Linked DNA regions of Callithrix jacchus. The protein of the gene in region 1 interacts with the protein of each later gene in a pairwise test. Links are inferred from orthologs where the notes say so. Each region holds a gene or a part of one and is shown in the gene's direction. Other genes may lie near its edges.

The links.
Region 2: the proteins of SMAD1 (region 1) and PIAS4 interact in a two-hybrid assay, tested with the Homo sapiens proteins (2 studies listed by BioGRID and IntAct). The link is inferred for Callithrix jacchus from reciprocal best matches to the Homo sapiens genes SMAD1 and PIAS4.
Region 3: the proteins of SMAD1 (region 1) and PSMB4 interact in binary tests that used the Homo sapiens proteins (3 or more experiments, as listed by UniProt). The link is inferred for Callithrix jacchus from reciprocal best matches to the Homo sapiens genes SMAD1 and PSMB4.
Region 4: the proteins of SMAD1 (region 1) and LEMD3 interact in binary tests that used the Homo sapiens proteins (3 or more experiments, as listed by UniProt). The link is inferred for Callithrix jacchus from reciprocal best matches to the Homo sapiens genes SMAD1 and LEMD3.

The regions. Positions count from the first base shown.
Region 1 is NC_133504.1:51,457,836-51,462,539, reverse strand, and holds part of SMAD1 (mothers against decapentaplegic homolog 1), read left to right. Parts: intron 1-3,086; coding exon 3,087-3,308; intron 3,309-4,704. UniProt on the Homo sapiens protein: Transcriptional modulator that plays a role in various cellular processes, including embryonic development, cell differentiation, and tissue homeostasis.
Region 2 is NC_133523.1:3,787,110-3,791,813, forward strand, and holds part of PIAS4 (E3 SUMO-protein ligase PIAS4), read left to right. Parts: intron 1-2,335; coding exon 2,336-2,409; intron 2,410-2,638; coding exon 2,639-2,799; intron 2,800-4,704.
Region 3 is NC_133519.1:11,300,204-11,305,681, forward strand, and holds PSMB4 (proteasome subunit beta type-4), read left to right. Parts: upstream 1-2,127; 5' UTR 2,128-2,153; coding exon 2,154-2,293; intron 2,294-2,544; coding exon 2,545-2,751; intron 2,752-3,014; coding exon 3,015-3,161; intron 3,162-3,334; coding exon 3,335-3,416; intron 3,417-3,809; coding exon 3,810-3,926; intron 3,927-4,105; coding exon 4,106-4,194; intron 4,195-4,380; coding exon 4,381-4,393; 3' UTR 4,394-4,494; downstream 4,495-5,478. UniProt on the Homo sapiens protein: Non-catalytic component of the 20S core proteasome complex involved in the proteolytic degradation of most intracellular proteins. This complex plays numerous essential roles within the cell by associating with different regulatory particles.
Region 4 is NC_133510.1:54,091,960-54,097,398, reverse strand, and holds the start of LEMD3 (inner nuclear membrane protein Man1), read left to right. Parts: upstream 1-2,282; 5' UTR 2,283-2,296; coding exon 2,297-3,818; intron 3,819-5,439.

The DNA.
Region 1 (4,704 bases):
GTGGTATATTATCCTTAGCAGTGCTGAGTGGAGGATCATTCTTCCAGCTCCACAGAAGCAAGTAGAATAGACTTAAGTGAGCAGAGAACTCAGGTAAATAAGTCTGGTAGAATCTCTGAGAATTTGTTAGAATCCACAGCCACACTGGCAAATAAAACTGTTCCTAAGTAACCTCTCGTGAAAGAAGGTGCCTCACTGCTGCACTCAGCACATGGCATGGGTCATGCAATTTGTATAATGTTGATGCAAACTGAAGTTAAAGTGCATGCCTAGTAATTTGATTACCAGGCATGTCTTATTTCACTCTTAGTGCTTTTTTATTAAAATAGGAGTTGCTTATATTTTTAAGTACTTGAAATTGATTTTGTCTGTATGATACATTATACAGTGGTAGCTCCATGTCAGTATACATTTGTCCAAACCCATAGGATGTACACCACCATGAGTGAATCCTGATGTAAACTATAGACTTTGGGTGTAGGTCTGTAGGATGAATGTAGGTTCATCAGTTATAACAAATGTACAACTCTGGTGGGGGAGAGTCTTACATTTGTTAATGGGGGAGGCTAGGAAGGTGTAGGGGGTTGGGGGGCATATCAAAAATTACTCTACCTTACACTCAGTTTTGCTGTGAACCTAAAACTGCTCTAAATGTCAATTTAAAAATTGGTGATGAAGGCTAGGTGCCATGGCTCATGCCTGTAATCCCAGCTCTTTGGGAGGCTGAGGCAGGTGGATCACCTGAGGTCAGGAGTTCGAGACCAGCATGGCCAACATGGTGAAACCCTGCCTTTACTACAAATACAAAAATTAGAGGGGTGTAGTGGTGGGTGCCTGTTGTCCCAGCTACTCAGGAAGCTGAGGAAAGAGAATCGCTTGAATCCAGGAGGCAGAGGTTGCAGTGAGCTGAGATCACACTATTCTACTGCAGCCTGGGCAACAAGAGCAAATCTCAGTCTCAAAAAAAATAAAAATAAAAACAAAAATTAGTGATGAACTCAAAGGACCTTTCTTAGATGTTCAGTGTAATAAATTGGAAGGTACACCTTTTTAATCAGTATAATTTTAAAATATTTTTTATTGGCTTCATATTTTATGGTTCCTGATTATCTCTTGAAAATCTATCAAACATAATTATAAGTCAATGAACACTCTCATTGGGGGAAATAACCTCTGTCTCACACATCTGTGGAATTTATATTTGGGGACCAGGACAGCAGGAGAGAATAGGCACAGTACCTCACTATTAGGAGCATGTGGACCCAGTATCTATTGTTGCTAAGCCCAGAATGTCTGATTTCAGGAAACAGATCTTTAAATTGCTTTAAGATTTTTTTTCATTTAAATAGCTTTAAATTTTTTTTCCTTTTTAATGTATAGTCATTTAATATTTTCATGAGAAAGGAATGTTGGCCTTTTTTTTTTTCTTTTCCCCTTTTTTTCCTACTTTTCTTTAACCTTTGGTGATTTTCTTAGAGCAGGGGTCAACAAACAACAGCCCACAGGACAATTCAGCCCGCTACCTGTTTTTGTAAATAAAGCATTATTGGACCACAGCTGTATTTATTCATTACATATTGTCTGTGACTGCTTTTGTGTTACAAAGGCAGAATTGGATGGTTGTGATCAAGATTATACCACCCATAAAATCTTTCTGGCCTTTCACAGAAAAAATGGATCAACCTCTGACCTAGATGAATAGTATTTTGAAGTATCCTGATAGCTGATAAAAGCCTTCTGTTAAAATGCTGCGATCTGCTTTAAGATTTGTAAATCACTGAAGTTTTGTTCTTTGAAATATTGCAAATTGGTATGGTAGAGTTGCTTAGCAAGCAAGGAAGATAGTGTATGTTTTTAGCTAACTACTTAAGTATGTAAAGCAACTAACTTATGTCTGGGCTTTTTAATGAGTATTTTCCTTGTTTTCTTGGTGTGTGTGTGTGTGTGTGTGTGTGTGTGTGTGTGTGTGTGTTGTGTTTTTTCTTGTTGTTTTGTTTTGTTTTGTTTTGACCAAATTCTAAAGTAAGTGCATTTTAGTATTTGTGGAATTTGATGTTAAGAACACAGAGGTGCTTCTCCCTTAGCAGTTATAGCCTGGGCTTCTGATGTGGACTTTCTTTTCTTTCTCTTATTATTCTATACCCAAGACTTCGTAAACCTCAGATCATTATATATTGGCTTGCTGGAAATATATGGTTTGTATTCCTGGAATCTTTAAAGCAGCAATACAAGAGGTTTACTACAGAAGGAATTCATCTTTAAAACCTTTTAGTTGCAAATGTTTAGAAGCATGTTCTGTTTGGAAAGATTTGTTAGTCTTAAGAGATTTGACTTAACAAGCTGCATCCTGTCAGTAAAGTTGGGTAATTTCCATTGTTGGCCCATTCTGGGAATGGAGAGACAAAACACACCTGCTCTGCATGACTTAAAGCAAATATAAGGAAGTTAGCATGAAATCTGGATGAGAAAGATATGATTCATTCTGTAAGAATGGCCAGCTGGCAAGATTTCTTCCTGAGTTTGAGAACTGGAGCACCACTGTAGCTGTGATAGTTATTGGCAACTTAATATGAGTAATTAACTTCTTATCAATAATTAGAAACTGATTTTCATTGCTTTGAAAAAGCATAGGCATACTTAGTCTTTGCCAAAACGAATTCATTTTTATGCCGGTACTTTTGGCATATTTCCTGTCTTCTATTGCCCTCTTCCCACTTATTTTTTCACTTGTCACTTGTGTTTCTTTAGATGGTGAGTCAAAGTCTACAGTGGAGTGATTTCCATTTCTGCATATTACAGAGCAATTATCATATTGTTAGTATTTGGCAAAAGTTGTTGCTATGCTTCCTTAGCTGGTGTTTTGGTTATCTGATAGTAATTGGAGAACATTGTTTTCCTAAAGAAGAATGTCATATTTAGTAAGAAGTACCTGCTTTAAACATCATAGAAAAACTGTATACATTATAATAGCAATATCTTTTCCAATATCTTCATTCCATGATCCTGAGCCAATTCAACAATACGGTTTCAATTTTTGAGCGCTTGAGGCACTAACCTTGGTTGATAAGTCATTTTCTTTCTTATAGACGTTCAGGCAGTTGCTTATGAGGAACCAAAACACTGGTGCTCTATTGTCTACTATGAGCTCAACAATCGTGTGGGTGAAGCGTTCCATGCCTCCTCCACAAGTGTGTTAGTGGATGGTTTCACTGATCCTTCCAACAATAAGAACCGTTTTTGCCTTGGGCTGCTCTCCAATGTTAACCGGAATTCCACTATTGAAAACACCAGGCGGCATATTGGAAAAGGTGAGTTTTTGCTTTAACCTCTTTCAGATGTTTTCAGTTGGGTCCCTGTTCCTCCAGAGCTGACTTAAAATCATTCCTATACCAAACTAGTATAGCAAAGACCATAAGACTCACTTGCTGCAGTTTGTAAATATTTTTCCAGTTTCTTCTACCTGGAAGCTCTTGCAGTCAGTGATTTTTGTGCTCGATCAACTCTCATAATATTGAAATTAATTAGTTGAAATTATGATTTGCCATTTTAAGACTATTTTATTTGATATTTTACTACAGAATAAATTGATGGTTAAAAAATAAATTACAACCTAAAATTAAAAGCAAATTAAACTTAGTTGCTAATTGTATTTCAAATGAATACCGTAACTCAGTAAATAGAAGAGAAAACTAGCTTCTAGCACAGACATCGTGCAAGGTGGTCAAATAGAACCCTGCAGTGGTTGTCCCCCAAAAGGGACACCAAATTGAACAACTATCCACATAAGAAAGCACCTTCATAAGAACAAGAAATCAGGCATGGATATATTTATAATAAGAAAAAGTAAAGACCAAAAAGCAAGCCTAATAAGTTACCAATATAGTATGTGACTATATATCCTCAGTCTAGGCTGAGTGGAGTAGATAGCATAGGGGGAGGATTTCAAATAAATCCTGAACTCTTTCTAGTAAACTTGATTATTTCATAGCTGTGTGAGTGAAACCATTCTGAAACTTTCATATGTATTAAAAGATGAAGCAAATGACTAAATATGTGGATATTGTTTCCACTGTGGAAAAATGGACATAGAAATGCAGAAGGGAGCAAAAAATAAACCCTATGAAGGAAGATGAAGGTATCAGTGCAAAATCCTGATTTTAATAATATATATGTATATGCATATTTATGTTCTCATGTATTATGTATATGTGTATGTATGCATATGTATATGCATTTTTACATGCATATAGTTTCTTATCTGCCTGCTGAAAGGGCCCAGAAGCATACATACCCAGTAGCAATGAGCACACCTAATGTTCAGATCATCATCTCTGTCTAATACCATGTTCCACTAAAAGGAACTAGGGCTCCGTGAAGAAATGGCTGATCCCTAGGCTTGGACAGGTAGGCACAGGAATATCCTGGAGCATCTTGTTGTGGCAGAAAGTAAAGAAATAAAGAAATGCTTATGGAAATTATGGGGCATGCCTCAGGAGCCAACTTGGAGGGTCTTCCACTGGCCAACTCTCAGAGAATTTGAGCTTCAAAATAACTACACTGATGAATTTTATTTTATATATACATATACATAATTTTATTTCATTATATATTATCTATATTATATGCATTATGTGTGTGTGTGTGTGTGTGTGTGTGTGTGTGTGTGTGTGTGTGTGTGTATTGACATGGAGTCTTCCTCTGTCG
Region 2 (4,704 bases), on another chromosome or scaffold:
GCCGATCATTCCTCACCCAAGCAGCCTCCCGGCACAAAGCCAGCGCTCAGTTAACCTTCCTTGGCAAGCTGTGTGGCCTCAGAAAGTCAGTGGCCCTGTCTGGTGGCTGCCGTCTTCACGGGAACAGGTCTGAGACATCTTGAGGGCACCTGGACCTCTCTCTGGACCCACATGCTTGGGGCCCAGGCCTCAGTGGGCTCTGCAGGCCTGTCCTGTGGAGAAATGCGGCGTAACCTGGAGTCCTTTGGAGCTGGGAGTGAGAGTTGGGCAGGTGGGCGAGGACTGGGACTGCCTTCCAGGCTGAGTGGAGGGCAGTTCCAGGCCAGCCAGCAGCCGGGTTTGCTCACATCTCCTTCAAGAATGGTGGCTCTGTTCAGGTGGCTCCTGGGTCCCACCCCAGCCCCTTGGCAGAATGTGGGCCAGAGGGTCTCCCAGCTGCCCCTCCTAACTGCTCAGGGCCCCTGTGCCCAGGCCCAAGAGTCCCTCGTGAGCACTGCCTTCCTGGCACAGCTGGACCCAGGCCTCTGGCCCCTGCTCCAGACCTCCAGAGGGCACTTCCTAGCCTGGGTGTCCGGAGCCTGGAGCAGTGCTGGAATGGCCAGGGACTTGTGAGTCCCTTTATCTTGAAGCCTGCTACACACTCCAGCCCCCCAAGTCAGGAAGGATGGCCATCAGCATGCCCTCTGCAGAGCAGGACAGGGAGGGGTGGGGTAGGGAGAGCCTGGCGATGTTTCTGACCAGTGGGGACACTGAGGCTGAGTGGCAGAGTTAGGGTTCTGTGACCTGGGTTTCCCATCCCCCACCTCCCTCTTGCCTCAGAGGGCCCTTTCTTCAACCCCCGCTTCTCTGCCTGAGGCATGATGGCCAACTTGAGCAAGGAGGCTGGGGCCAGGCAGACCTCTTCCAGGCTTACAGGGCAGGGGCTGGGCCGAATCTGTCAGTGACCACGGCTTGCCGGGCCGTGGCTGGCCCTGCGGGGTCAAGTTTCCTCTCTGAAGTGGTCCTCAGGCGCTGCCCACCTGCGGCCCCTCGTCACTGGGTCTCTCTTGTTGTACCAGGAAGTCCTCGCCTTTGTCTCACTTGAGCCCTTCTTGCCGCATACGTCTTGTTCTACATGGAGGAGGGAGAGCTTGCTTCAGAATCAGATGGGCACCTGCATTCCCTCCTAGCTGCCCAGGGCCCCCTTACCAGGCCTGAGGGTCTGCCTGGGCACCTGGTAGCCAGAGCTGGGACCCAGGGCTGGAAACTTGGCCAAGGCTGGGGCAGTCTTGGCTCAGGCAGGAGAGCTGCTGGGGCCCTGCGAGGGAGCAGACCGTGGCGGCCAGCATGTGGCTGCCACCGCGTCCCCATGGGAGGAAGCGCCCACTGGTCCACACACAGACTGCGGGTTGGGCCAGGGGGCTGGGTGGAGTTTAGGAAGGAGGAAGTGGCTCCTACACGGCCAGAGATAAATGGTGTTTGAGGGCAACAGCGGGTGGTGGGGGCAGTTCCAGGCAGAGAAACGTCAGGGCAGCTGGGGGCAGTGGGAGGACAGGCTGGCACCGTCACTCTGGACCCCAAGTCAGGTGGGCAGGTGGCTTCCTGGAGGAAGCAACTCGGGTCCACCAGGCAGCTGAGGGCAGGTCGTGGATAGAGAGGCCCTGTGGGCTGTGGGCCAGTGTGGTCTCTGCCCCGAAGGGCCCAGAGCTGGGATTCTGTCCTGAGCTACTGGGGGATGGAATTTGGCCACATCCCAGAAGCATCAGGAGGGCAGCCAGGTGCCTGCGTGAGTTCCTCCTGTCGGTGGCCTGCAGCCTGTCGAGTGGCGGACATGTCTATTCCTTTGTGGAAGCAGCTATGCTGCTCCTGGGCGTGCCGGCTGCCCAGGGGCACTGCCTGGGGCTGGGTGGCAGCCGCTTCCTGGCTCCTGGTCAGGAGTTCCAGGGTCCGTCTCATGGCTCGGTTGCTGCCTTATTTCCAGCTGTGGCCTTGGGGATGGTGCTTTGGTGACAGGATTAAGTCACAGCGATGACCCTGTTGGTGGCTGTGTTGCATGAAACTTTCCAGAAAAGTCCCGTGGGTCATAGAACGCTGATGCGGGCTGGGGAGAGGCCTCATCTGCGTGTTGGGGCTTTGGCTGGGCGTATGATGCGCGCAGGCTGTGGCCAGATGTAATGGTGGTCGCCGCCCAGCCTTCCCTGATCCCTCGTAGCCCTGAGCCAGCAACAAAGCTTGGGGCTTGTCCTCAGGGTACCTGTTCTGGGAGGTGGAGGTCAGTGCTGGCGAGAACCTGAATCCCAGGCCCGTACCCCGCTGCCACCTCCCCCTGATGGTGTCCTCTCTTCCTTTCCCACAGTCAAGGAGAAGCTGCGCCTCGATCCCGACAGCGAGATTGCCACCACTGGGGTTCGGGTGTCCCTCATCTGCCCGGTGAGTTGGGGCGCACACCCCTCCTCGGGGCCTCTCTCCTGCCCGGTGGTCCTGGTCCCGGGGCAGCTTGGCTGGGCCGAGAGCCTGAGTGGCAAGGCTGGTCTTGTTCCCCTCCGTGTCCCTGAGACACGAGCGATTGGAAGGAGCCACAGGATGGAGCTGGGGGCGAGGGGCACCGGTCGGGCACAGCAGTCAGGGGTGCCCTGCTCACCCAGCTCCTCACCCGCAGCTGGTGAAGATGCGGCTCTCTGTGCCTTGCCGGGCAGAGACCTGCGCGCACCTGCAGTGCTTCGACGCCGTCTTCTACCTGCAGATGAATGAGAAGAAGCCCACCTGGATGTGCCCGGTGTGCGACAAGCCAGCCCCCTACGACCAGCTCATCATCGATGGGTGAGCCTGGGGCCCTGGGGAGGGAGGCCAGAGCCAGACACCGTGGAGGTCTCAGCGGCACCCTGCTTCCTGCAGACCCTGTGCTGCCCCAGCAAGACGCAGTAGTGAGGGCACTTGGTCCCAGAGCTCCGGGAGCACCGGGGCTGCGGAAAGAACCCATTTCTTCCCCAGGGAACTTGTCAGAGCTGTGCAGGTGCCAGGTGTGTAGCTTAGGCTGCAGAAGGTGGACTCGGGTCCACCCTTGCTCCCACATGACCTTGGGTGAGTGTGACCTTGCATTGCAGGAGTATGTATAGTTTTTGCCGAGAAAAGCTGAGCCAGGCACGGCGTTTGTACGGCGTTCCACCCCAGGAAGTGCAGACTTGGCAGACTGGGTCGGGGGTGACCTCCTCAGAGAAAGGCAGAGGAGGCAGCGGCTCCCGGAGTGCTCTGGCCACACCGCACCCTACCCTTCCTGGGTGGCACAGCTGGCCAGGTGGTCCCCAGGCCACAGGATAGGAGGGCAGGGCCTTTCTACCTGGACGGAGGCTCTCTCTGCCCAGGGCTTGTTTCCAGAAACTGAGCGTCGTTGTCTGTGGTGCCCAATTTGGCTCCTGGCTGGTGCCAGCCACGCTGCCATTTTGTCCCCAGAGCCGCTGGCAGGGTGTGAGGCCACATCGGCACGAGCTGGTGCCCTCACAGGTGGGAGCAGGCCCCGCCCAGGGGAGTGGGCCCAGCCCCCAGCCCTCAGGGGCATGGCCTCAGCCAACCGTTCAGGTAAAGGCAGGACTGGCCCACCTCCAGGGTTGTAGATTTGGTCCCCCAGTAAAGGTCCTGGGAGGCAGACCTTCGAGCCTCCCCATCTTACAGACAGGGAGATAGGCTCAGAGAAGGCAGCCAGCAGCTGGAGCCGCCCCGGCCCACAGGTGGACTGGCTGGGACTGGAACCCAGCCTGAGTCTGCTCCTCTCCTGGGAGAGCTGCATTGCCACCCCGCTGCAGGCCAGTTTCGGGTGGAGAGAGAGGCCCTGGGGCCTGGGCACACGGGCTGCCTGAATGGCCTCTCTGTTCCCGGCCTGACAGCTGTGCGGCCGCTGCCCGCCTTCCCCCACAGGCCTGAGCTGGGCTTGGGCTCTCGGCTCCAGGGCTGGCAGGGCTGGGCCAGGCAGCCGTGACCCACGTAGGCCTTGGTCTCAGCAGCCACCGGTACTCCGTGTAGCCAGGGAGGCTTCCTGAAGGAGGGCTCCTTGGTTCATACATTTCTCCATGAGGCCTGTCACCTGTCTGTCCCTAGCCCTGAGCTGGGTGACCCCAGGGTTCCCAAAAGAGTCATTTCCCAGACCCTGCCTTTGGAGAGCCTTGCTAGGGGCGGATGGAGGAGCAGAGCCAGGCATAATGTTCCTGCTGCTGTGCCTGTCAAGGAGGGGAAGGGACGCTGTGGGATGGGGTTTCAGAGGCTGAGTAGGAGTTTGCAGGCAAAGAAGCAAGCAGGCAGAGCTGGTCCCATGCCTGGGATGGCCCTGGCACAGTGAGCTCTGAGCATTGCCTCAGGGTGAGGGTAGGAGGGGTGGGCGGGGCTGACCTGGGTGAGAGGAGTCCCATAGGCCTCAGAGGGTGGCCCAGAGCGTGAAGAGGCCTCTTCTCCTTGGTGATGAGAGTGACGCTGCCGCAGGCACCTGGGAGCCGCTGCAGCCTTGACAGTTACAGGCCAGCCTGCTCTGTGATACGTGGCCCTGCCTATACCTGTGGGCATGGGGGGGTCTCCCTTCAGATGCCCCCGTTGGCCACTGCACCCTTCCCATTCTGCAGGTGGGGAGACCGAGGCCCTTTGGCTAGGATGCCCCAGAACCAGGGCCTGCCTCCGATTGTCCTTGGGTCCTCAGGACTCATCCGTTTCCTGGGCCTCTGTTTGCCCATTTATAAAATA
Region 3 (5,478 bases), on another chromosome or scaffold:
CGGACAGATCACCTGAAGTCAGGAGTTCGAGACCAGCTTGGCCAACGTGGTGAAACACCATCTCTACCAAAAAGACAAAAATTAGCCAGGCATGGTGATGTACACCTGTAATCCCAGCTACCTGGGAGGCTGAGGCTGGAGAATCGCTTGAACCAGGGAGGTGGAGTTACCGTGAGTCAAGATCGTGCCACTGCACTCCAGCCTGGGCAACAGAGCGAGACTCCCTCTCAAAATACGAAAAAAAGAAAACAAAAACAAAAACAAAAATTAGCTGGGTGTGGTGGTGCGCAGGTGTAGTCCCAGCTACTCCCCAGCTACTCGAGAGAGGCTGTGGCTGAAGGATGACTGGAGCTGGGGAGGCAAAGGCTGCAGTGAGCGGAGATCACGCCACTGCACTCCAGCCTGGGTGACAGAGCCAGACCTTGTCTCAGAAAACAAACAAAAGACACCTAAGGATAGTGTTGAGGATTGTATCCTCACCAGTCTCTGTGTGCGCGAGGATGGGATCCTAACTTGCATAATCATCAGCTAGCAGACATCGCTGACCTAAGTGCATTTACATTGACTCATTCTGTAAACGTTCACTTCCCTGACTCTACCGACCCTCTGTCTCACCGCCCCCGAACCTCGTTTTCCCTGTAAAATATCCATTACTTGCATACAAATTGCAGTTGAGTTCGGTTCCTGCTGGAGTTTGATTCCCTATTGCAGTAGTTATTGATTGAAATCTGTCCTTTCCACTTTAGTGACCCGCTTTGTTTACCTTTGACAAAGTTCATCATTTTGATTCAAGACATTGTTTCCAGCCCCTGCTATGGAGTTACATTGAGAAGAAAAGCCCTGGAATTTAGTTTCATCCCTAAACTTTCAGTGGATTTTTTCTGCTGCTTAAGAGGTGGGCAAGGGCCGTTGACAATAAGGAAATTTTCAGACGTGTCTAAGGTCCCACAGAGAGTGCTTGATCCACCCGAGCTATCACAGCCCACGGGGTATACACAGTGTATTCTTTTTTTTTTTTTTTTTTGAGACAGGGTCTTGCTCTGTTGCCCAGGCTGAAGTGCAGTGGTGCGACCTCAGCTCAGTGCACCTCCCTACCTGGTTCAAGCGATTCTCCCACCTCACCCTCCCAAGTAGCTGGAGTTACAGGAGTGTGCCACCATGCCCGGCTAATTTTTGGTTTTATTTTGTAGAGACGAGGTCTCATCCTGTTGCCCAGGCGGATCTTGAATTCCTGGGCTCAAGTGATCCTCTTGTTTTGGCCTCTGTTCTGGGATTACAGGCATGAGCCACCATGCCCGGCCCAGATTCCTTTTTTTATTCTGGGCTTAAGATTCAGTTCACCGGTTCTGGCTGTGTGAATGGGTATATCACGACTTCACAAGTCCCGCTTTCCTCTTTACGGAACGGGTCGAATAATGCCTGAGCAGTCACATGGGGCTGCTCTGAGGACTATAGATGCAAGAAACCCTGTGTTCACTGATATATTCGCGTGGGCTTTTTGATAATGATCCGAAAGAAACATGAGGATTATGAATTCTCGGCCCCGCGCGGTGGCTCACGCCTGTAATCCCAGAACTTTGGGAGGCCGACGCGGGCCGATCACCTGAGATCAGGAGTTCGAGACCAGCTTGGCCAACATGGTGATATCCCGGTCTCTACTAAAAACACAAAAAGTTAGCCGGGCGTGATGGCAGGCGCCTGTAATCCCAGCCACTCGGGAGGCTGAGGCACAAGAATCGCTTGAACCCGGGAGGCCTCGGAGGTTGCAGTGAACCGAGATCGCGCCACTGCACTCCAGCCTGGGCGACAGAGTGAGACTCTGTCTCAGGGAAAAAAAAAATTGTGACGTCTCGCTCAGAATCAGCGTCTTTAAGTGGCCACCTCCCCACCCCACCCCCATGCCTCCCTCCTCCTTGAACTGTGTGTTAGAGCACTGCGATCTGGTCCAAACTCCACGGAGATGTGTTGCGAAACGACGTGGGGCAATTCCAACTCTTCGTCTGGGTCGCCACCTAGGATTACTGCACTTTCAGTTACGACCTCATCAACATGGCTGTTGGAAGTCGCCTACAGGAAAAAGAAGTGACACTGAAGGATCACTTCCGCTTCCGTTGGCGCAAGCGCTTTCATTTTTTTCTGCTACCGTGACTAAGATGGAAGCGTTTTTGGGGTCGCGGTCCGGACTTTGGGCTGGGGGTCCGGCCCCAGGACAGTTTTACCGCATTCCGTCCACTCCTGATTCCTTGATGGATCCGGCGTCCGCGCTCCACAGAGGTCCGATCACGCGGACCCAGTAAGTTCTCGGCGCTTTCACTTGCGAAGGGGGAGGGATCGTTGGTCCTGGTGCTGCCCGGCGGGTTTTGAGAGCCCGGGAAGGTGAGGCGGGGACCCCGGAGGCGCGCGAACATACGGGAGTTACGGGCGCGGAGTCCTGGAGAATACAGAATCATTGAAAGTAATTACAGAAAATCAGAAGCGGAGCCCAGTGCGCGGAAAGGCGGCGCAGGCCATCTCCCCGCTCAGCTCCCACCATTCTCTCTCCAGAAACCCCATGGTGACCGGGACCTCAGTCCTCGGCGTTAAGTTCGAGGGCGGAGTGGTGATTGCCGCGGACATGCTGGGATCCTACGGCTCCTTGGCTCGTTTCCGCAACATCTCTCGCATTATGCGAGTCAACAACAGTACCATGCTGGGTGCCTCTGGGGACTACGCTGATTTCCAGTATTTGAAGCAAGTTCTCGGCCAGATGGTGTAAGTCATCCAGAGAACGGGAGAGTGGTTCCCAAGTAGGGAGGATAGTCCCTGTTTTTCATTCCCTTCGACGGCATGGGGGTACTTGATGTTGCAACGGGGCACTGGGAGAATTGTTGGGGGTGGCTGATCCAAGAGTGTTTGCAATAAAGTTTTTGGCATTAGGAGGTGTAAAATGGGGGAAGGTGTGGTAACTTCTTTTGGGGATGGGTGGAGATCCGGATTTAAGTCTCTCCCTTTTCTCACAACCAATTCCTTTTAAGGATTGATGAGGAGCTGCTGGGAGATGGACACAGCTATAGTCCTAGAGCTATTCATTCATGGCTGACCCGGGCCATGTACAGCCGGCGGTCGAAGATGAACCCTCTGTGGAACACCATGGTCATCGGAGGCTATGCTGATGGAGAGAGGTTCATACGAATACAAATAACCTATTTCCTTTACCACCCAAACTAGTGCCTGTGTAGTATCTCTTGTCTCTTTTCCCCAAGTGAATCCCACTTTAACTTAGGCCCCATGGTCCCCTTCTTCAGCTAAGATGAACCTAAGGTGAAATGAGTTTTGACCCATTGTGTCCTGTTAGCTTCCTCGGTTATGTGGACATGCTTGGTGTAGCCTACGAAGCCCCTTCACTGGCCACTGGTTATGGTGCATACTTGGCTCAGGTAAGCAGTGAGTTGAGAGGCGGGAGCAAGGGGAGACAAAAGGGAAAATGTATTAGTGGTTGCTTATTTTTCTCCTGAAGTTCTGAAATGACAGGCTGGGATCCCTGCTGCTGGGCAGATGGTTTTCTTTGTAGTCTGGGGGCTGTAGGTGTTGACACTTAAGATTCCAGTGACGAGATGGCATGTCTGGGACTCGGTAGACATGCAAAGAGAGGACACCCTAGAACTTCCCCTTCAAGTGGCTTTTAGCTTATTATTAGTAAGCAGAGTTCATTCTGCAAGAGGTAGAATGTCATCTTTTCACTCTTTAATGCTTTTTATACCATTGACTTGAGACAACTAGCTTGTTATTCAGCCCAGTATCTCCCATGGTTCCCCTCCCAATCTCTCTAGCCTCTGCTGCGAGAAGTTCTGGAGAAGCAGCCAGTGCTGAGCCAGACCGAGGCCCGAGAGCTAGTAGAACGCTGCATGCGAGTGCTGTACTACCGAGATGCCCGTTCTTACAACCGGGTGAGGAATGTGCTGGGAACCTAATTGGCAGACTCTTGGATACTTGCAATCCCTGGGTCTCTATGCTTTGAAGAACAGATTGCCTCACTTGTGCGACTATTTTCAGATTGGGGAAGACCTCCACCTGACCTTTAAGGACATAAGGGGTGGGCATTACTGAATGCTCTGCTTTCTTCCAGTTTCAAATTGCCACTGTAACTGAAAAAGGTGTTGAAATAGAGGGACCACTGTCTGCAGAGACCAACTGGGATATTGCCCACATGATCAGGTGAGTCTTAGGAAAAAAACTGGTAGCAGATTTTGGGAGCTCTTTGGCTTGCACTGAACTGGACTTTTCTGGGAGGCTCACCCAGGAAAACTGTCTGGATGGGAGAGGGTTTTGGTTGGACAGTGCAGCTATTTTTGGGAATTGATCCCTTTAGGCTTCACAATTTTATTATTCTTTCTTTTTTAGTGGCTTTGAATGAAATACAGATGCATTATCCAGAACGGAAGTTGTACCCTACTTTTAACTTTAAACTTGGCTGGTTCAGACTCTTCTTTTGTAAACTAAATAAATTCTTCAAAATACTTGCTGAGTAGTTTTTGTCTGACTGTGTCACAAGTGCAGAACTGCTGAGTAGTGCCGTGTGGCATCTCCCTCCCTGGTCGGAGAACCCTGAGGCTCTTGTAGCAAATACAGAATTCTCTGCACAGTACAGAAAGACCCACTAGCATCTTCCTTTGGGGCTATATTAGAAGCAGCTTCCTATAGAAGCCAGATTTAATTTTTATGTGCTAACTGGCTTTTGTGTTCAAATTTTTCTCCCAAATCTTCCCCTACTGCAATGTATTATCAAAGAATACAGATTTCTTAATGTTGGCTGTGGTTTTCATTGAAATGCCATCTTAGAGACCGTCTAGTAGAGCTGCTCTGCATCAGGTTGCCATCCCTGGAATGGTTCTAAACCTGAATATTTTAGAGACAAGGTCTCATTCTGTTGCCCAGGCTGGAGTGCAGGGGCATGATCATAGCTCACTGCAGCCTTGAATTCCTGGGCTCAAGCAACTTCCCGCCTCAGCCTCCCAAGTGCTGGGATTACTGGCATGAGCCATCATGCTCAGCCTGAATTTTTTTTGTTAATTTCAGCCCAAATTTTTAAAATGAACACTGTAGGTGAGTCTGACATGTATCCTCTCCAAACTTCAGCAAATTAAAAGTATTATAGAAATTCAGTGAGAGCTGAAGGGAAAACCAAACCATCCCTCCATTTACATTGTCCATAACAACAAACTCATAAAGCAAATGAAAACCATGAGCTTTCAATCTGACACCTCAACACATTCAGTCTCAACACAGAAAATAGTCAATAAATACATGTTTATTGATTAAACTGAATTATAAAAAACAAAAAAAAAAAGTTTCCTTCTACTACTAAGCCATGCAGGCAGAGTCCACAAAGACAACTTCCTGGCCAAAACCCAGCTGATCCACTGTTAAGATCTTAAAAAAAATTACCCATCAAGAAAGTCAATCGTGTGCAGAGGACAGGAACCCCAGCTCTGCTAAGGC
Region 4 (5,439 bases), on another chromosome or scaffold:
TAATTTACTCCTTAAAACAGCCTTCTGAGGAAGTTTTATCACCCCTCTTCTGTTTGTACAGAAACTAAAGTTTGAAAGCATGAATTAACTTGCCCAAAGTCACAGGCAGAAGTATAAATGATTCAACAGTCTCTATAGGAGGTCATTTAAAGGTTCATAAACCTCTATGTTCATGACCTCTAGGTTCACTGACTGCTATGATTCCTATCAGAGAAGCCAGTATGGTATAAAGCAAATGTTGAACCAAGAATGAAAGTAAGAGACAGGGCTGGGTCCACATCTAGTTTCATTTAACTCCAAACCTCACAGCTTAACCACTCTGCTACATGGAGACACAAGTCCGCTAAGTTTATAATAATTTTAGTCCCCACCCAGATAATTACGGCAATAAAGTCTGGGTCATCATCATAGCCACTATAATTTACTTTGCAAAATTCTCTTATAAGTGCATAACAGTAATAGATTCAAGAACATTTGTAAATCTTAAAGGCTCAACGATTAAAGGACAAGTGACTGTCCTCCACATAAAAGCTTTTTTTCTTTTGAGAAGATGGCAAGCTTTTGCTAGGAAAAGTAAAAAATTAGGGTTAGTATTATTCTGCTGTTTGATTCTGGATATAGAAAAGCTAGTATCTGTGCTTTTTTTTTTTTTTTCGAGAAGGAATCTCACTCTTGTTGCCTAGGCTAGAGTGCAGTGGCGCAATCTCAGCTCAGCTCATAGCAACCTCCACTTTCCTGGGTTCAAGAGATTCTCCTGCCTCAGCCTCACGAGTAGTTGGGATTACAGGTGCCTGCCACCACACCTGGCTATCTTTTTTTTTTTTTTTTTTTTTTTTTTTGTATTTTTAGTAGAGACAGGGTTTCACCACGTTGGCCAGGCCGGTCTTAAACTCCTGACCTTGTGATCCACCTACCCCTGCCTCCCAAAGTGCTGCGATTACTGGCACGAGCCACCGCACCCAGCCTGATCTATGCTTTTGGCTAACATTTTTTCTGTACGGGGTGTAATGTAATAGGTAAAATAACTCATTCAACAGAAAAAACATTATTGTAGCATTTTGTAGCTAATAGGATTGAAGAACTAAAGAATTGTCTGTCTGCCAAGGTTTGGGGAAATGGGAAAATAGGAAGAGAGCTTTACCACACTGGGCACATTTCAACTCTCTGGGATTCGTTTCCTATTCCGTAAATGGAAGAGTTGGGTTTCCAGGTCTTTTTTTTTTTTTTTTTTTTGACTTTGTGTGAAGGTTTCTCCACCTCACTTGGCACTGGTCTCATTTCAAAATATTCATCTCATACTATCCTCTCTTTGCAATTCTTTAATTCATTCAACAAATATTTATTGAGCTTCTACAAGTATCATGAATAACAGAAGCAAGGTTCCTCCACACATGGAACTTATTATAGTCTAAAAGGATAGGAAAATAAATAATTTTGAAAATAAACAAATACAAATATTTATTAATAAATAATAACTATGGTTGGAAAGGTGCTAAGAAGTAAGTAAATAGGGTCATGTGTTATGTCTTCGAGTCTTAAAATGAAGCAGATAAGCTCTTTCACTTTCAAAAATGCTGACGTAGTAAAGTCATTAGGTTTCAAAAAAGGAAAAAGAAAGATAATGTCTTCCAATTAACTGATGAACGAACAGCCATTACTCTAGAATAAAATTGTATTGTGATTGATGTACTCTGTATTTTCTCGGAATAGGAGAGGAAACGCTTCTCAAAAAGAGCAGCGAGAGAAAGTCACTTAATTTTTGTTTTTTTATTTTTGTAAGTCAAGCGAAAGACGAACTGAAAATAGACAACCTGAAGTCAGACGGGAAAGCTGCCAATCTAGTCTGGCCAGCAGAATTTCGTTCAGTCGGTCTAGGCTCCCTCGGCAGTGGGAATCCAGATGTAAAGAAAACTTATGCCATGAACTTCAAGGTAGATTTCAATTATTACTGCCCAGTGGCAGGAACCTAGGATGGAGAGGTCAAGGTGTGGTTTAGTAAGAGACAGCTCCCGGGAATGGCACTTGGAAGGGCAGGGTGGAGAACAGCCGGAGACGGGACGGAGAGGAGGGGGAGAATGCGCCGACACCTCAAGGTGAGAGAGTAGACACAGTCTCTGCCGTGGGAGCCGCTCACTGCTCAGGTGGCTCTTTCCCGCTCAGGTGAGCTCCTCCCGCGTCTCCGATTGGCCGAGACACCCACGGCGCTGAGAGGGCGACGCAGCGCGGTCTAGTTCAGGGTCTAGGGCGGCGCGTCACTTCCGGTAGCGCGGAGCTTGTAAAACACCCTGGAGAGAAAATGGCGGCGGCAGCGGCTTCGGCGCCTCAGCAGCTCTCAGATGAGGAGCTTTTCTCTCAGCTCCGCCGTTACGGCCTGTCTCCTGGACCAGTGACGGAGAGCACCCGCCCAGTCTACCTCAAGAAGCTGAAGAAGCTTCGAGAGGAAGAGCAGCAGCAGCACCGGTCGGGGGGCCGCGGCAACAAGACGCGGAACAGTAATAACAATAACACGGCAGCCGCCACGGTCGCAGCCGCGGGATCAGCGGCGGCAGCGGCCGCGGGGATGGGGGTCCGGCCGGTCTCGGGCGACCTCTCCTACTTACGGACCCCTGGGGGCCTGTGCCGAATCTCGGCCTCTGGCCCGGAAAGCCTCCTGGGAGGGCCCGGGGGCTCCTCCGCCGCCCCCGCGGCTGGCAGCAAAGTGCTGCTGGGCTTCAGCTCGGACGAGTCGGACGTGGAGGCCAGTCCCCAAGACCAGGCCGGCGGCGGCGGGAGGAAAGACCGGGCTTCGCTCCAGTACCGCGGGCTCAAAGCGCCACCGGCGTCCCTGGCCGCCAGCGAGGTGACTAACAGCAACTCGGCCGAGCGAAGGAAGCCCCACTCGTGGTGGGGGGCCAGGAGGCCGGCGGGCCCCGAGCTGCAGACTGCGGCGGGGAAAGATGGAGCAGTGGAGGACGAGGAAGGGGAGGGAGAGGACGGTGAAGAGAGGGACCCGGAGGCCGAGGAGCCGCTCTGGGCCAGCCGGACAGTGAATGGCAGCCGGCTTGTCCCCTACAGCTGCCGGGAAAACTATTCGGACTCAGAGGAAGAGGACGACGACGACGTGGCCTCCACCAGACAGGTATTAAAGGACGACTCCCTTTCCCGGCATCGGCCCAGACGGACCCATAGTAAGCCTCTCTCCCCGCTGACTGTTAAATCGGCCGGCGGCAGGCTGGAGACTTCAGCTCAGGGAGGGGGAGGACTCGCGATGAATGACAGGGCGGCGGCTGCCGGGAGTCTAGACGGGAGCCGAAACCTCGAAGAGGCGGCGGCCGCGGAGCAGGGAGGAGGGTGTGATCAAGTGGACTCCAGCCCAGTTCCTAGATATCGTGTTAATGCTAAAAAACTGACCCCTCTCCTGCCCCCGCCACTTACTGACCTGGACTCAACCTTGGATTCGTCAACAGGCTCCCTTCTGAAAACCAATAATCATATTGGCGGTGGGGCCTTCAATGTGGACTCCCCCAGGATTTATTCTAACAGTCTCCCTCCCAGTGCGGCGGTGGCTGCCTCTGGTTCACTCAGGATCAATCACGCCAATCATACGGGCTCCAATCATACCTACCTGAAAAACACATACAACAAACCGAAGCTTTCTGAACCAGAAGAGGAACTTCTCCAGCAATTTAAACGGGAGGAGGTGTCCCCAACAGGGAGTTTCAGTGCCCACTACTTGTCGATGTTTCTCTTAACCGCTGCCTGCTTATTTTTCCTAATACTGGGACTGACTTACCTAGGAATGAGAGGAACAGGAGTGTCTGAGGATGGAGAACTCAGCAGTAAGTATTAAATCCTGTGGGTAAGGCAACAAAGGGAATGTTGTTAGTGGTCCGCTTTAGCCGCTCTTAGCATTTTACGTGAAGTGACTTACCTGCAAGAACGTGGTTTAACCCCAGCAGTGAGTGTGTGTGTCATCTTTCATTAAAAAAGAGCACCATTATCGAAATGATATCATATGGCTGGTTTTAAAAGTTTTCTGCATGATGTGTTGTGAAATTCAAAACAATTTATAAAAGAATATTATAAACTTGTTACTAAAACTTATTTGTATATGTGACTTAATTTTCTTTTATGCCTAAATAATTGCGCAGATGCCAATTACTCAACAGATTTGAAGTATTAGGATAAGACACACCATAAATGTAGTGTTTTTTCAAATTGAGTTGTGATTCTAATAGGCAGTGTACTGGCTCTTGACATTTGAATGAAATATTTTGTAGTATTAACTGTATGCATAAGTTCGGATTAAATATTTTGTAGTATTAACTGTATGTATAATTTCTTTATAATGAATGAATACAAAACAGCAGCAAGGCACACCTCTTAATTGATTTCCCAGCCCAAAGCAATTTTCCTATCATCTGTAAAAAAAAAATAGTGGTGGTAGGACAGTGCGCGAACTTGCAGTCAGATTTCCTTGGACTGGTTTCCAGGTCCTGCTGTTTACTTGCTAAAAATGACTGTAGGCAGCTGTGTTCACTGTAGAAATCAAAGTATCTCTGCTCTTAAACACAAAAAGAAGATGAATACAGACTGTTTTGTGTTCTGTGAAGTAAATAAGGATGAGTAATTGACGTACACAATTTTATTTTATTTTTTTCCTTTTTTAAAAAAAATTTACCACACTACACTGATGTAGGTGTACACTACTTTAGATTGAACGGAGGAGGTACTATATGAGGTGAGACCTGAAGCAGGAGGCAATCTTGTGGAGAGACAGGAGACCATTCTGGGCCGAGATTGTAAGAGGAAAGGCCTTGAGTTGAGCAAGAGCCTTCTTCTAAGTTATTGTGGTTAAGCATCTGGAGTGAAGGGGAGAGAGTAAGAGTTAAAGCTTCTGAATTTTTCTAATCTATAAAATGATGCCACTTTGACTAGAATGATGTTTGTGAAGACTAAAAGAGAAAGTAAATTAGTACAAAATGGACTTCTGAATACATAATTTCTCAATGTTAGGTCCCTCCCTGCATTTCCCTTGAAGGTTTCCTGCTCTTTTCACCCAAGTTGAATTCACTGTATTATGATTTGTATTTATAAAATTGGCTTATTAGTTTTATTTCAAAATAAAGTGAAAGATGCAGTTAGCCAACTCAGATAAAGAGTAGGAGTCAAATTAGTGTAAGGTTTGATTTAGATACAGCCAATTCCAAGACAGTCAAGTAGCTGATTATTACTCTATTGCTTAATTTAAGGGGTTACAAGAGGAATGAAATTCAGCTCTTAAATTTATTTCCCAGAAGCATGAGTGTATTGTGTCCTGCCCCAAGTATTTGGGAGGAAAAAATAAGGGCAGACTAGAAGTTAAACTAGTAAAAGTTCACATAAATTAAACTACATTACTTATCAGCAGTAGCTATCTGCATCTGCATCTGCATCTATGTCTGTAACAACTATATGATC